Linked DNA regions of Callithrix jacchus. The protein of the gene in region 2 interacts with the protein of the main gene of each other region in a biochemical or structural test. Links are inferred from orthologs where the notes say so. Each region holds a gene or a part of one and is shown on either strand. Other genes may lie near its edges. The genes, in order: RAD54B, RAD51, EVL and RAD52.

The links.
Region 1: the proteins of RAD51 (region 2) and RAD54B form a complex in vitro, tested with the Homo sapiens proteins (2 studies listed by BioGRID). The link is inferred for Callithrix jacchus from reciprocal best matches to the Homo sapiens genes RAD51 and RAD54B.
Region 3: the proteins of RAD51 (region 2) and EVL form a complex in vitro, tested with the Homo sapiens proteins (2 studies listed by BioGRID and IntAct). The link is inferred for Callithrix jacchus from reciprocal best matches to the Homo sapiens genes RAD51 and EVL.
Region 4: the proteins of RAD51 (region 2) and RAD52 form a complex in vitro, tested with the Homo sapiens proteins (6 studies listed by BioGRID). The link is inferred for Callithrix jacchus from reciprocal best matches to the Homo sapiens genes RAD51 and RAD52.

Annotation. Positions count from the first base shown.
Region 1 is NC_133517.1:32,820,016-32,823,880, reverse strand, and holds part of RAD54B (DNA repair and recombination protein RAD54B), read right to left. Parts: intron 2,885-3,865; coding exon 2,623-2,884; intron 1,117-2,622; coding exon 1,050-1,116; intron 862-1,049; coding exon 664-861; intron 1-663. UniProt on the Homo sapiens protein: Involved in DNA repair and mitotic recombination. May play an active role in recombination processes in concert with other members of the RAD52 epistasis group.
Region 2 is NC_133509.1:45,885,176-45,889,753, reverse strand, and holds the start of RAD51 (DNA repair protein RAD51 homolog 1), read left to right. Parts: upstream 1-1,688; 5' UTR 1,689-1,943; intron 1,944-1,945; exon of another isoform or gene 1,946-2,396; intron 2,397-4,578.
Region 3 is NC_133509.1:135,053,210-135,057,074, forward strand, and holds part of EVL (ena/VASP-like protein), read left to right. Parts: intron 1-597; coding exon 598-661; intron 662-2,412; coding exon 2,413-2,479; intron 2,480-2,572; coding exon 2,573-2,635; exon of another isoform or gene 2,636-3,750; intron 3,751-3,865. UniProt on the Homo sapiens protein: Ena/VASP proteins are actin-associated proteins involved in a range of processes dependent on cytoskeleton remodeling and cell polarity such as axon guidance and lamellipodial and filopodial dynamics in migrating cells.
Region 4 is NC_133510.1:14,076,593-14,080,457, reverse strand, and holds part of RAD52 (DNA repair protein RAD52 homolog), read left to right. Parts: intron 1-2,224; coding exon 2,225-2,406; intron 2,407-2,575; coding exon 2,576-2,715; intron 2,716-3,865. UniProt on the Homo sapiens protein: Involved in double-stranded break repair. Plays a central role in genetic recombination and DNA repair by promoting the annealing of complementary single-stranded DNA and by stimulation of the RAD51 recombinase.

The DNA.
Region 1 (3,865 bases), on a different chromosome or scaffold from region 2:
ATAAATAGGATTATTCTGTCAAGTGTATGTTTTTTGTGAAAGACAAATAGGAATTAAAACTATTTTTCTGGCTGGACGCGGTGGCTCACACCTGTAATCCCAGAACTTGGAAGGCCAAGGTGAGCAGATTGCTTAAGCCCAGGAGTTCCAGACCAATGTGGGCAACATGGAGAAATCTCGTCTCTACAAAAAATATAAAAATTAGCCAGGTGTGGTGGTACACACCATTAGTCCCAGCTACTCAGAAGGCTGAAGCTGGAAGATCACTTGAACCCAAGAGACGGTGGTTGCAGTGAACCATGATTGCATCATTGCACTCCAGCCTGGGTGAGGCAGTAACAGAGCCAGACCCTGTCTCCCCCTCAAAAAAAAATAATTTCTTTTTTTCCTATCTCCAAAGCCATTACATAAGGATTTGAAAGACTTTCCTAAATAAGTTCAATTTTTCACAAGTGATTCAGAAGTAAAAAGCTAAAATTGAGAGAATAAGATTCTACTAAATATATCTCAAATATCTCTGGCAGCTGCCCTATGAGCTAAGAAAAAAAGAAAACTACCATATGCAAATGGTAAATATTATAAAGTTATTCTTTAATATTTTCAACTGCTAAAGAGAGGTAAATTAACTTTACTACATAATAACAGAATTAAAATACAACTAACCTGTATGAACTTCTCCTGTACACTCACAGTCAAGCAGGTCATGAGTAACACAAGATGAACTTTCATGCAAGGTGAACAAATTTTTAAGTTCTTCTAGTGAAAACTGAATATGTTCCGATGTCTTAGTGAGATCGACAACTGCCCCACAAAGACCTTGCTTACTGATCTGCCTTTGATAGATCTTTTCTTCTATTGTACCTAAAGAGAAAACATTCATTAGATTTCCTTCAGATCTTTATGTTCACTATTTTTGTTGGGTAAAATGTTTATTAACATACTAGTTAACAAAATAGCAATATATTCCTGACACTGAAGCACAGACTAACAAAAAATAATTTTAATTATTCAAAGGAAATACATTTTTGGTCATACCGATGGGTTGTTACCTGTGGTTAGGAGTCTGTAAATATGTACAGGATGCTTCTGACCATCTCTCCATACTCTGGACATTGCCTACAGAAAATAAGTGAGAATTCTGAGAGTACAGTAGAAACTGATGGCCCTTTCCACATATGCAATTTGCAGAAATATGTTTTAAAATTAGGAATTCTATATTTTACATATATAGGGTTACAGGTGTGCCAAGCGTGTCCTACTGCATATCTTTTTCTTGGCGGAAAGAAAGGGTTGAGTGAACACTCATTATGTTAAAATAACTACAGGGGTATCATGCAACAGTGAGAGGATGTATCTTCATCAATGGGACAGTGAGTATGGACAGCAAGACACAAAGAACCAAGTGTAGCATGGGCATGGAGGTTCATTCTCAGTCCAAATAGCTAAAGATTTGCCCCTGAAAAGTACCTAGGATACATGTAATCAGCTAAGGCTCTAGGTGGATCCCTGTGGTTTAAAGATTATATGACATATAACATATAATGTCATATAAGTGCAGGGTTGATGTTCAAAACCTGCACATTTCAAATAAGAATCTGGCCTTCAACCTACCTCTAAGAGATCATCTCTAGGCTCTTGGAATGTCCTGCCTGATATGAGTGTCTGTTTACCAGAAGCCTTGGGCCACACCAGAGAGTTTATGCTAACAATGTGATATGGTGGGGCCTTCGGCCATGTGGTTGGATTTCTGGAAGGCTGAAGGCTGAGTAACTAAGGTCAGTCATGCAGGTAGTCCATGCCTACAGGACTGACCCCAAAGAAAAATTCTGGACACCAACACTTGGGTGAACCTCCCTGGTTGACAATATTCCATATGTATTGTCACTCATCAATGCTGAGAGAATTCAGTGTTGTCCATAAAACTCCACTGGGAGAGGACAACTGGAAGCTTGTGGTCTCTCTTGGACTCTGCCCTGAACCCAGCACCTTTTCCTTACTGATTTGAGTATCCTTTACTATAATGCAACATAACTGTGAGTACTGCTTCTTTTTCCAGTTCTGTTGAGTCCTTCTAGTGAATTATTAAACCTGAGGGTTGTCTTGGGATCCCCTAATGCACATAACTGAGGTGCAAACCTACAGGTAGAAAACTCAAGATACAAAAGGATGGATGGTTCTCTAAAGAAAACCAAAGGCTTCTCAAATATTTTCCTAAATATGTTATATTTATACCCATACTGTAGCCTGCATAAACACTAACAGGATCCACAACACTTTATTGTCTTCACCTGATGGTCATGAACATCCTAAACGCCCAACTCTGCAGTAAACTAGAACCTGGAGACATACAGGTTTAGGTCTGAATCCTGGCTCTGCATCTTACAAGCTGTGGGATCTAGAACAAGCTTTCGTATCTTCATCTGTAAAATGGGACTATTAATATCAACCTTTGTAGGCTTGTTAGGAAGATTAAATAGATGGAAAGCACTTAGCAGAGTGCTTCATGCAAAATAAGGGCTCTTTATGCAGTAGTTATTATCTATCATCATCATATTGCATCCTCAATAGGCACTGCATTCCCAGGCATTCAATAATATCTATCTAATGCATAAATATTCCTACCTGAATATCAGTGGCTGGATTCCAATCAATGTCATAAAGAATTAAGTGAGATCCTCCAATAAGGTTAAGTCCTACACCACCAGCTTTTGAACTTAACAAAAAAATAAAAACAGAAGAGTGTTGACTATTAAAGCCATCAACAATCTGCTGCCTTTGAGAGATTGGTGTTTGCCCATCAAGTCTTGTATAAGCATATCCATGACGCTTACATACTTCTTGTAAAATGTTCAAGGTTTGTGTATAGTTGGATACCAACACCACCCTGTCAATCAAAAAGAAAGATTCTTTAGATATAATTTAAAGGCAGCTTTAGATTGTCTTAGTTGAAAGAAAATACCACAATAATATTATCACTGACATTTAGAGAGTGTGCAACAATGACCCTGTACAATTAAAACAAAGGTATTTCTACATAATCCATTTTAAAGTCAATATCTAAACTTCCAGTTTTAAGACAGTGAAGCAAAGACCTTTCTGCCTTCTTCATCTCTCTGACGTCACTCTAAAAATATCAAGAGAATGAGCAAAATACAAAAATGAACAGAAACACTAACTCTGAAGATATCTGAAAACAGAAAGCATAGTGAAGCAGTCACCTGCTTAGGAGTATACAAAAAGTGACACCTACATGCGCAAAAAGGGAAATTCCAATAAGAAACAAATGAAAGTTCATTTGCATCACAGAATCTTCCTAAGGTACCTCAGAAGGAAGGAGTTTAGACTGAAGCTATTACAACATTGGTACATAGAACCCAGGCCCTGCTCCCATGTGATCAGCAGTTTTCTTTCTCAAATAAAATATTTATTCTCTGGAGAAAATAAATCAAAGAAACTTAGACCAGGGAACCAACTGTAGAAGGCAGAAGAGCCAATGTAGTGGCATATAGCTTTAGCACCTGCTACTCAGGAGGCTGAAACAGGAAGATCACTTAAATCCAGGAGTGTCAGTCCAGCCTGGACAATACAGCAGGACCCTGTCTTAAAAAAAATTGTTAATGAAAGTCTAGATACTGAATTAGATCTCTCTCCCCTTTGCCTGCCAACTACCAGAACAGCAGCAGACAGGCACCCCACATACCAGCCCAAGGAAGATATTACTAAAGGATTCATCTATGGAAAGACTTAAAGGATTCCACAGAAAAGATCCTATTTGAGGATAGGGAGTCCTCAAATTAAAAAGCCACCTTGCCGCCCGATTACCCAATAATGGTTACCAGTCAACGAGCCCTGCCTATTTGTACAG
Region 2 (4,578 bases):
GAAATCTATCCTTCGATGCCACAAGGTAATAGTGTGAGGATTAACTAAAAACTTTGTCAACTTTAAAGTGTGACATGGTAAAAGCCCCATAAAACTGCATACCTCAACCATACCTCGGCTTTCTGTTGAAACTGCTCTCTATAACCCAAATGTGAATAAGCAATTAAGGACTGTAATTTCCACCCTACCCAAATAATGTGTAAACAAATGCTAATCTTGACTTTTGTGAACCACTTATGTAACAATCAGAATGTCAAAAAAGTCCCCTGGCGCTCGGCAGTCCAGAGCCCCTCACCCTCATCTTCGCCCAGGAATCCACTGGAATGTCTGGAGCCCCTCACCCACATCTCCGCCCAGGAGGTGATTTACAGAATCCACTGGCCCTCAGAACGTCTGAAGCCCCTCACCCCCACCCCTGCCCCTCACCCTCACTCCCGAGGTGGTTTTACGGGTATAAAAGGTCTTGGCACCCTCCTTTCGGGGCCACGGGTTGGAGAGTGAGTCCTCGGTGGCCGCAGGCAATAAAGACCCTGCAATTTAGCATACTTTTGTCTTAGTGTTGACTTTCTATGCTCAGGCCAGTACAACAAAAGCACTCCACAAATAGGAAGTAGTAATAAGGCCGTTGCAATGGCTCACACCTGTAATCGCAACACTTTGGGAGGCTCAGGTGGGAGGATCACTTGAGGCCAGGAGTTCAAGGTCAATTTGGACAACAGGGAGAGATGCTGCCTCATTAAAAAAAAAAAAAAAAAAAAAAAACAATAAATAAGACCAGGTGAGGTGGCTCCTAAAGTACTGGGATTACTGGCATGAGCCTCCGCGCCCGGCCCTACTTCAGCTTTTAAAACCGGAATCAAGAGTCAAAACTTTTTGGTAAACCACGATACTGTGTAGGTTATCAAATTCATGTCTTCTTCCTCTGAAGTCCTGCAAATCTCCAGTAAAGTACCACAAATTGACGAATATTCCAGCCATTTCTCTCTCCCGTCCGTTAGCTCCATTTCCCAATTATATCCATCTTCTCGAGCTTCTCAGCTCCTTCACCTTCATGAGGCCTGGAAAGCACCCGGCTCCAGAATGTGAGTCGGAGGCTCAGAGCGACCCTAAGTGCCAAAAGCCGACGTTCAGACACTGCCGAAAACCAACCACAAAAGAGGTAAGGCTCCGGGACGAAGGTAGGTAGCCGCGGGCCCGCCGGAGGTGCATGCCGGGAGATGCAGTCCCGAGCCGACGCATTACCTCTTGGGAGTTGTAGTCTTTGATCTGGTAAACATAAAACGGTTTCTGTAGACACCTGAGAGAGGAAAAAAAAAGTGAAAAGATAAAACGGCAACTCGGATAAGTCTTCCTCCCCCACTCCCCCAACCCCCGCCCCACCCGTGAGGGACTGGGGTGGGAGTAGGGGCGTTGCTGTGGCTGGCCTCGAACTCCTAGGCTCACTGTGGTTCTCTCGCCCCCACGTCCCGAGCAGCTGGGACTACAGGAGTGAGCCACAGCGCCCGGCATAAACTTTGAATTAGTACTCGTGCAAAAAGGGACGAGGTCGGTCCGTAACCTCGCAGGCTCATGTTCTCGCGCTCCCACCTTGCCCTGGGGCGCAGGGCGGAAGCGGTGAGAAGGCGGATCCAGGAGGCTGGAAGACGTTACGCCGACGCGGGCGTGACCCCAGGCCTAGAAGCTTTGGCGGGAATTCTGAAAGCTGCCGGCGGAGGGCAGACAGCGGCCAGAGACCGATCCCTAATGAGAGCGCAGCGCTTGCAGAGGCGCGAAGCTGGGAGCTGAAACTCGCCTGGATTGTGCGCACAAGGCTGGGGCAAGCGAACAGAGAAGTGGAGCGCAACCCAGGGGCGTTGGGGTCCGCTCAGGTCGCGCGCGTGCTAGGCCCACGGGCTGAAGTTGGAGCGCGCGGCCCGCTGGAGCGAGCAGCGCTGCGGGACGAGGTGAGTGCGTGAGGCGCAGGCCGTCCACAGCCGCGGCTCGTGCTCGCCTACCTGGGTGCGAGCCGGCTCGTTGCCCAGCGGCGGCTGGTGGGGCCTTCGCGCGCAGTGTGAAACCTGGACGTGGCAGGGCGGGTTGGCGCCCGACCGACCCTCAGCTGCTGGGGCGAAAACACAGTGGACCCCAGGCTTTAGAGCTAGGGGAGAAACAGTAGAACCGTCATTGCCAACACCCATTTTATGGGCTTGATCGAGGAGTCCGAGAGGACTGTTTAATATCACCGCCAGGGCTTCCGGATTCCTGGTCTTTCCATTACAGCAAGGTGTAATGGAAAGTTGGAGGTTGCCTTAGAAAGTACCCAAACTCCAATTGCCAAAAAAAAAAAGAAAGAAAAAATGTCGTCATTTGATGCAGAAAACCATTTACGTGACGTCTAGAGAATGTTCTGAAGTGAGGTTTGGGTTTTTGTTTTGTTTTTGTTTGTGTTTTTTGTTTTTTTTGAGATGGTGTCTCCCTCTGTCGTCCAGGCTGGGAGTGCAGTGGCCCGATCACGGCTCACTGCAACCTCCGCCTCCACGGTTCAAGCGCTTCTTCTGCCTCAGCCTCCCGAGGAGCTGGGATTGCAGGCGTGCGCCACCACGCCCGGCTAATTTTTTGTAGAGACGGGGGTTCTGTTGACCATGTTGGTCAAGTTGGTCTCGAACTGCTGACCTCAACTTACCCTTCCGCCTCAGCCTCCCAAAGTGCTGGGATTACACTGTGAGGCACTGCATACGGGTTTCTAATGCGATTATGTCGCTTGTTTTTGAATTTTATATACAAATATATCAGGAGTGTTACTTCACATGGTTGCCAATACGATATTTTTCAGTCTTATTAAATTTTAACTCTTTTGCTGGGTACACAGTAATGTCTCATGATTTTGATTTTCCTGATTACTGATTAGGTTGGGCATTTCTTCATGTGTTTTTGGCCATTTGGATATCTTCTGTGATGTGCTTGTTAAAATCTCTTGCCTCATTTTCTGTTGAACTGTCTTTTACTGATTTGAAGTTCTTTATATTCTGATTATCAGGCCTCAGTTATGTTAGTGCTAAGTGTTTTCTCTGCTGTAGTTTGACTTATTCTCTTAGTAGTGTCCTTTGATGAATAGAAGTGCTGAATGTAGTTCAGGCCAGGCGCCATGGCTCATGCCTGTAATCCCAGCACTTTTGGAGGCTGAGGGTGATAGATGATCAGGTCAGGAATTCAAGACCAAGAACCTCAGAGGTGGAGGTTGCAGTGAGCCGAGATGGAGCCACTGCACTCCAGCGTGGGCAATAGAGCCAGACTCTGTCTCAAATAAATAAATAAATAAAAAATAAATGTTCAGTTTTCAACATTTCCTCTTTGGCTAGTGAATTATATATCCAACTTCATGAACTCTTTTTCTGTCCCAAGGTTGTGAAAATATTATCTTATATTCTGAAAAGTTTAATTTATCTCTTACATTTAGATTGGGTGGAATCTATTAATAAATTGGAAATTGATTTTTGTTTGTGGTATGAGAGAGGGACAAAGTTCATTTTTCTCTCTAAGGCTATTCAATCAACCCAGCACTGCTTATTGAACAAAACCATCCTTTCCCCATTATTCTGCAGTACTGTATTCATAAATTATGAAGGGAAATATTTAAGTTGCACTGACGTGATTCTTGGCTGGGTGTAGTAGTGGCTCATGCCTGCAATACCAGCACTTTGGGAGGCCGAGGTGAGTGGGTCATCTGAGGTCAGGAGTTCGAGACCAGCCTAGCCAACATAGTGAAACCCCATCTGTATTAAAAGTACAAAAATTAGCCAGGTGTGGTGGCATGCGCCTGTAATCCTAGCTACTTGGGAGGCTGAAGCAGGAGAATAGCTTGAACCCAGGAGGTGGAGGTTGCAGTGAGCCAAGATAGCGCCATTGTACTCCAGCCTGGGTAATAAGTGGGAAATTCAATCTCTAAATAAATAAATGAGTAAGTAGCATTGAAGTGATTCTTTCTTTTTCTTTTCTTTCTTTCTTTTTTTTTTTTTTTTGAGTCAAAGTCTTGCTCTGTTGCCCAGGTTGGAGTGCAGCGGCATGATCTCAGCTTACTGCAGCCTCCACCTCTTGTGCTCAAGCAATTCTCCTGCCTCAGCCTCCCAAGTAGCTGGGACTACAGGTGTGTGCCACCAAGCTCGGCTAATTTTTTAAATTTTTAGTGGAAATCCGCCTACCTCAGCCTCCCAAAATGCTGGGATTATAGGTGTGAGCCACAGCACCAGCCAAGGTGATATTTCAGTACATACGTACATTGTATAATGAATGATCAAATCAATTCAGTTCAAACATTTGTCATTTCTCTTTGTGGTGAGAACATTCAAAATACTCTTTCTGGCTATTTTGAAGTATACATTACATTAGTGTGCATTGTAGTCACCCAACTGTGAAATAGAACACTAGAAATTATTCCTCTTGTCTAACTGAAACTTTGTGCCTGTTGACCAACCTCTCTCCTTCCCACTGCCCCTCTAACAGCTGTGTTCGCCTTAGTCTCTGGTTACCAGTCTTCTATTTGCTCCTTGTATGTGACCAACTTTTTTTTTTTTTTTTTGACACAGTCTTGCTCTGTTGCCA
Region 3 (3,865 bases), about 89 Mb from region 2:
AGAGTTACACATCAGGTTGGGTGGCTGCCTGTCAGCAGCTCAAATGCTGTGCATTCTGCTTCATCAAGTGAGAGGATTACTCTTATTACTTAACAAGTGGCATGTTCTTGGTGCTGAAAATCATCCTGATGCACATGCCATGCACAGCGAGTGTTGGGTGTTCCCACTGTTGGACACACATCCACCCGTCGAGCATTGCCACAGACCTGTCACAGGGGCAGCTGTGTGTGTGCTACATGGGGGAATAGGTCCCTCCTCGGCATGCTTGCAAGAAGTCAGCGAGATGACACACAGGAGGCATCTGGCCCATGGGGCTCAGGGCTTGGGGTGTTGAGGGCCAGAAAGGAGTCTGCACTCCTCTGCAAAGGTCCTGGAGCTTCCTGCAGCCTTCCCCTTCCCCTTTGTCCACAGGCTGGATTCACTCCCCACTGAGATTTGGGGTTTTCAGTTTTAAATATTTAATGTTTTGCTAATTATAAAAGTTGTATGTGTTCACTGGGAACATTTGGAAAACTGAGGTTTTATAGAGTGCCCAGTGGTGTCCTGCCCCAGCCCCAAGCAGTGTTCCTAAACAGACTTCCTTCTTCTCCATCTTAGGAAGATCCTAGTACCTCCCCCTCTCCGGGGACCCGAGCAGCCAGCCAGCCACCTAACTCCTCAGGTGAGATGGCGCCCCCACTGACCTCATGTATGAAGCAAACAGGGCAAGGGGGCATGTGAGGCATGAGGTCTCAGAGTGGGGGGAGCACCCTTCAAAGAGGACTCTCTGATCCAGCCTCCTCAGTTTGCCTGAGCAGAGAGCCAGGCCACACAGAGGGAAGCCCAGTTCTTATGAGTCCCCCAGAGCATCCCCCAGGAATCCATGCAGGAGCATAGGAAGTGCTAGAACAGAGTCACCGTCATGGGTCCCCAGAGTGGCCTACGCGGCACCTCATTTCCCACCAGGACCCTGAGTTCCGCATGAGGGAAGGCACTTGCCTGATGGCACATATTCAGGGTGGGGGTTTGTGTCCAGGGCTCCTGAGTGCAGGCCGGGGCCAGTGGTCTTAAGAGGGTCAGCGTCAGGACTCATGTCTCCCATGAAACGCCAGCTGGTGACTAGCGTTACAGATATGGCAGTGGATCTTGCTTCACCGAAATGCAGCTCCTTCCCTGGCTCAGGTTTCCCGTCAGAGCTGTGGCAGGTGGGAAGGAGGAAGGAGAGAATGATGAGGTGACAAGGGCAGAGGTTCTCTACATAAGCCTTAAGAGGAAGTGGGAGGAAGACCCCAGGGTTGGTTGTTCATTCAACAGACATTGGCGCAGCACCTGCTCTGTGCCAGGCCTGTGCTCATGAGCATGGCAAGGAGAGGCAGGGGCGTCAGGCTGCCCAAGCTGGGCATGGGAGGCGCTTGCCAGCTGTTCATGTGTCTCTCTGGGGCATGCTCAGGTTGAGTGTCACCTCACTGTGAGACTGTACACCGTGTCCTCTCCTCCTAGGACTTTTGCCTGGCAGGTCGATTTGCCATGATGCATAGGTTCTTGGCTGATGAACGTGAACAATGCCCCTGCCCTGTTTGCTTCTTACAGCAGCCCAGTGAGTGGGCTATGTGTTTGCATCTGTATGATAAGTGGTTTGCTCAAGGCCACACACCTGGGACGGGTCTGTGGCCCCAGGTCTAGTGCCTGCAGTCCCAGCACCTGTCCCAGAAGGTGACTTTGAGGAAAACTACCTCAGTCCCACAGTTGGTCTGCAGGGTACCACAGCCAGGCAGCTTCCCCACTACCACTAGAGATTTTGTCTTCTGTCTCTGCTCATCCTGCAAAGTCAGCAAATTCAACTTAATGCAACAAATCTTTTGGAGTAGGCCAAAATATAATCCAATACCACTTACCTTGAAAAAGAAAAGACAAGCCAGCTGAATGGGACAGAGCCAGGCACAGCATGGGGGCCAGCTAAGGAGCCCGTCAGCAGCAGGTGCTGGGCCTCGGGTCCTGGCTGCACAGCTCATGGGAGCAAGGCTGCATTGGGAGTGTCTGGGGAGGTCCTGCCTGCTTCCCCTTCAGCCCCGTTCGCTGGGTTGCTTACCAGCAGGCCCACGTTCCAGAGAAACCTGACCACAGTGAAAGGACTCAGAACGAGGTCACAGGTCAGGGTCAACCAGGTCAAGGGAACAGGAGCTTGAGTCCTGGAGTAGGGGAGACACAGGGTGACGACAGTGGTGCCATCTAAAGCCCTCAGGGGGCTGGCCTAGGCCATGGGGGACTGAGAACAAGAAGCCAGGTTTTGGCTCTGCTCAAATTAGACCTTCTTGCCATGGGGCTCTGCACCCTCAGCATTGGGGAGAGCTTCCTTTTGGATGTTGAGGGGATTAGGGTGGCTCCTGAGTCCTCTCAGGTCTAAAGTTCTTCATCCATGAACCGAATTGACAGAGACTGGCCGGAAGCCCTGGGAGCGGAGCAACTCGGTGGAGAAGCCTGTATCCTCGATTCTGTCCAGGTGAGTGGCCCAGAAGGCCTGAGCAGCAAGGCTGGGGTGGGCAGAGGCGGGTGCTGGCGCCGATTCACATGTCTGTTTCATTCCATGCTGTAGAACCCCGTCTGTGGCAAAGAGCCCCGAAGCTAAGAGCCCCCTTCAGTTGCAGCCTCACTCTAGGTACTGAACAACCCTCCTGCTCACGTGTTCTCCAGGGTTGGGGCTCCTCTGTCCCCTGTCCTGTGACTAACACCTTGCACCCTGTCTCATGTCTTGGCATTTAACAGCTTGCTCTGGGAAGGTGATCTGTTCTTTCAGACCCAGGACCTCAGGGTCCTGTCAGTCAGCTCCTCCTCCTCCCTCTGAGGGAGAGACCGAGGCCCGGGGAGGGCAGTGACCTGTCCACAGATCCAGTGCAGGGGGCTGACTTGGAGTCTCAGCTCTGGACTCACTACATGTGACAGTGAGCAAGTTAGGGGAACTCTCCAGGCCTCTTTTTCCCCCTCCCCCCACAAAACAGGTCGGTGAATCCCTGCTGCACAGGGCAGTAGTGGGGACAGCTGTGCAAACAACAGCTGGACATGGTCACTAGGCGTGGCTGCAGCCAGCAGCTCAGCTAGTCCTAGGACTGGCCCTGAGCCCCACACCCTCTCCTCCAGCCCACAGTCCTTCCTCTGCGTCCAGCACAGAGCCAGTTTCCCCCAGACATGCTGACCATATTTCCCAAACCAAAAGCTGGCATGACAGCACGATAGAATATTTGGAACTGAGGTTGCCCAAAAAGGTGCAGGCAGCCACATCGTATCTGGAGGCCCACGTGGCCTGAATGTGAAGCCCTCTAGAACCTGCATCAAGAAATGTCTCCATTGCCACCAGAAGTTGAAGGGAACCCACCCTTGTCACAGAGGAGGAGGCACTGAAACTGGCCTTGCGGAGCGAAACGGGTGACAAGCCGAGCAAGCCCTGGCCTGTCCCTGGCAGAAATGGCCAAGACCAGGGCAGGGGGACAGAGATGAGGAAGTCTTAGCAGTCAGCTGGGGTTTGTCAAAGGCTTGTGGCCAGCCAGGCCGTGTGCTGGGGACAGTCCCTGCCTGCCAAGATCACATGAGAACAAGGCCCCTGTGGTCCTGAGGGGTGCTCCAGCAAGGGTGTGGGGCCACGTGGTGGAAGGGACAGGGTGCTTTGGGGAGTGGGGCAGGGCAGGCCTCCGTTGGGAGCTGGCATTTCATTGACCTGGACGAGGAGGAGCCTGCTGTTCGGAGAGCATGGGGACAGCCTTCCAAGCTGAAGGAAGGGTAAGTGCCAGGGCCCTGAGCCTGCAGCCACCTGCCAAGTTCTCCCACACCTCGCACCTCGGAGCAGACAGCAGGCCATGGGGCATGGGAACGGGAAGGGTGAGGAAGAGGGTGT
Region 4 (3,865 bases), on a different chromosome or scaffold from region 2:
TGAACTCCTGACCTCAGATGATCTGCCTGCCTCAGCCTCCCAAAGTGCTGGGATTACAGGTGTGAGCCACTGGGCCTGGCCTGAACTTTATATATGTAAAGTTCACAAGTGGAATTGTACAGTTTATACTTTAAGAAAATTGACTGAAGTATTAAAAAGTACATATAGACATGTAGACAAGTGCACATATCATCCATGTTTAGCTTGCTGAATTTTCAAACCAAACACATCCACATAGTCAATATCTGAATCAAGGTAAGACATTACCAGTACCCAGAAGGCCCAGATGTGTTCCTTGCAGTCACTGCCATCCTCTGCCCTCCTTCCCACTACTGAGCAAACCACTTTTAACAACACAGATTGGCCAGGTGCGGTGGCTCACGTCTGTAATTCCACCACTTTGGGAGGCCAAGGAGGAAGGATTGCTTGAACCCAGGAGTTAGAGACCAGCCAGGACAACATAGTGGGACCCTGTCTCTACAAAATAAAAATTAGCTGGGCATGGTGGTGCATGCCTATAGTCCCAGCTCCTTGGGAAGCTGCTCTGAGAGAATTGCTTGTACCCAGGAGGCCCAGGCTGCAGTGAGCTGTGATCACACCACTGTGCTCTAGCCTGGGCTGCAGAGCGAGACCCTGTCTCAAAAACAAAAACCACAGATTTGTTTTTATTGTTATGTGCTTTTTTGGAATCCTATAGTTTGAACTCTGTATCTTACTTGAATTCAGCATGGTTGTGAGATTTCATTGCTGTGTCATTTTATTTTGCATGAGTATGTGGCAGTTTAGTTTTCTAGTCAGAGATGTTTTGTTTTTGGTAGCTTTTGGCTGTTGGGAATAGAGCTGCTGTTAGCATTCTTTTGGTGAACATGTGCGCTCACTTTTGTTGGGAATTCTTGGGTGAGAAGATAGCTGCATGGTTTGTTCCAGTGGGTTCCTCCCGTTTTCCTGCGTGGCTGTATTGATTCACACTCCCACACGGCATTGTGTCAGTTCCAATTGTTCCAAATCTTTGACACCATTTGGTATTGCCAGTCTGTCATATTTTTCAAAGCTCATTTCTTCTTTTGAGACACATCTCGCTTTGTCACCCAGGCTGGAGTGCAGTGGTGCAAGCTTGGCTCACTGCAAACTCTGCCTCCTGGGTTTAAGTGATTCTCCTGCCTCAGTCTCCTGAGTAGCTGGGATGATAGGTGTGTGCTACCATGCCCAGGTTTTTTTTTTTTTTTTTTTTTTTTTACTTTTAGTAGAGATGGGCTGTTACTCAGGAGCTCCTCTGATTTTTTTTTGTATTTTTGCCATGTTGGCCAGGCTGGTCCTGAACTCCTACACTCAACTGATCTGCCTCGGCTTCCCAAGTGCTGGGATTACAGTCATGAGCCACCGCGCCCAGCCAAAGCTCATTTCTTTTTAAACGACTCATTTATCTTTCAAATTAAATGTGAAATCTTCACTATAATTTTCATTTTCAGGTTTTCAAAATGTAATCTTAATCCCTCATATTAATTATTCCATCAACATCACTTTTATGAATTGAGAGATGTTTTCCCAAGTAAAAATGTTCTGGATTTCTGTAGGAATCACAGTGTGGAAATGAAATCATTTGCCCTGTGCCATACAGCACAGGATTGTCCCTTGTCACATTGATGAGATGCAGGAAGAGCCCCCCACTGGAAGATTCCTGGCAGCCTTGGCTGGCAGCTGACGTCTGTGTCTCCCAAGTGTTCTTCCCTCTGTCGTTTGAAGGGTACTTTATTATGCCACAGCATGCCCAAGGCTCCCTCAGTGATGAGTGCGATTTCCAGGGGTAGTCCTTGAAGAAAGCATTGAGAAGGTGCAGACCTCCACAGAGACTGTGTGGACTCATTTCTCTGGAAAAAGGACAAGGAGGCAGCAAAGACAGACCCAGCTGCCAAGGAAAGATTCAAATTAGATTTTACAGAACATTTGCCCTAGGTCAAAACCAAAGAAGGATTCCTTTTTCTCAAAACTTCACTTGTTGAAGGGTGTAAAGTAAGACATGTTGTTTTACTTCTCTTTCTCATAGAATTACAAACATTACTTGGAATTTGTAGATCCTTTGCCTCAGGCTCAGCACGACCTAGAAGGCATGATGGATGGAGGGTATGAAATGAGATTTTCCAGGAATCTAAATCTGTGAGTCAGGGAGAAGAAGCGGAGGGCAAGAGCTAGTTGAAGGAATTTTTTTCTCCTTTTTCCTTATTAGGTGCCTGTTGAAGTGGATTTAACTAAAGCGAAGAGACAAGATTTTGAACCATCTGTGGAAGAGGCAAGATACAACAGTTGCCGACCGAACATGGCCCTGGGACACCCACAGCTACAGGAGGTGACCTCCCCCTCTAGACCAAGCCACGATGTGATACAGGGGAATAAGGACTGCAGCTCCCGGTATGTGTCCTCAGTCCCCTCCTTTTTCTTTCTGGCCATTTCCTCTGCTACTGGGGCTGCCTCCACTTCCTCCTTCAGAGCCAGCCAGCTGCGTGCGTGTGTGCGTGCGCCCAGGAGCCGTGGCTGTTACTTAGGAGCTCCTCCTCATCCTGTTGCTCCCCTGATGCAGACGCCTGACCTCATCCACTGTGGAGAGCGAGGCCTCATACCAGCGGAAGCTCCGGCAAAAGCAGCTGCAGCAGCAGTTCCGGGAGCAGATGGAGAAGCAGCAAGTCCTCGTCTCCACCCCACCAGTTGAGAAGAGTGAGGGTGTGTGTGGATGGGAGCAGAGCCCTGGGAGGTGTCAGCAGGAGGAAGTCTAGCGACAGGGTCACCTGATTCTCTGCCAGTAACCCTGTAGCTGGCTCTAAACCAGGCCTCGCTGGGACTTCTCTCAAGCTATGTGCAGGAGAGATGAGCCCAGGAAATTTGGATATTTAAATCTGCTATACATTTTCCCATTTCTAGAGACAATGATCTTTTTTTTCCCCTATGGAAGTAAATGGGCCTTGATATAATCTTCTAGAATTAGAAATTTCAGAGTAAATAACTTTTTTTTTGCTGCAAATACTTAGTCCATCTGTACATTAGAAAGCCGTGGCCGGGTGCAGTGGCTCACGCCTGTAATCCCAGCACTTTCGGAGGCCAAGGTGGGTGGATCACTTGATGTCATCATGATGAAGCCCTATTTCTACCAAGAATGCATAAAAATTAGCCAGGCGTGGTGGCGCATGCCTGTGGTACTCCCTACTTGGGAGGCTTAGGCAGGAAGGCAGAGGTTGCAGTGAGCTGAGATCGTGCCATTGCACTCCAGCCTGGGCAAGAGTGAGACCCCGTCTCAAAAAAAAAAACTCCTTGTATTTCTGAGATGTCTTTGAATATAAGGCCAAATTGAGATTAAGGATAACGGGAGCTTTTGGCAGGTATTTATCAACTTTCGTTTATTTCAGAGTCCAGATTCAGTGGGAATCCCCACTGCCCCGTCCAGGGGTAGGTAGTCCTTACTCAGAGAGTGCAAACAAAGCCTGTCCCAGATCCGTTGAGCTTTTGCCCAGTTTTTCCATACCAATTGTGAAGAAGATTCATAGAAGACTTGCTTTGTGGTTCATATGCCCCTCAGCACTAACAGGCTGAAAGTAATATAAAAGCCAAAACAGGGGCCGGGCGTGGTGGCTCACGCCTGTAATCCCAGTACTTTGGGAGGCCGAGGCGGGTGGATCATGAGGTCAAGAGATCGAGACCATCCTGGTCAACATGGTGAAACCCCGTCTCTACTAAAAATTAGCTGGGCATGGTGGCGCGTGCCTATAATCCCAGCTACTCAGGAGGCTGAGGCAGGAGAATTGCCTGAACCCAGGAGGCGGAGGTTGCAGTGAGCCAAGATTGCGCCATTGCACTTCAGCCTGGGTAACAAGAGCGA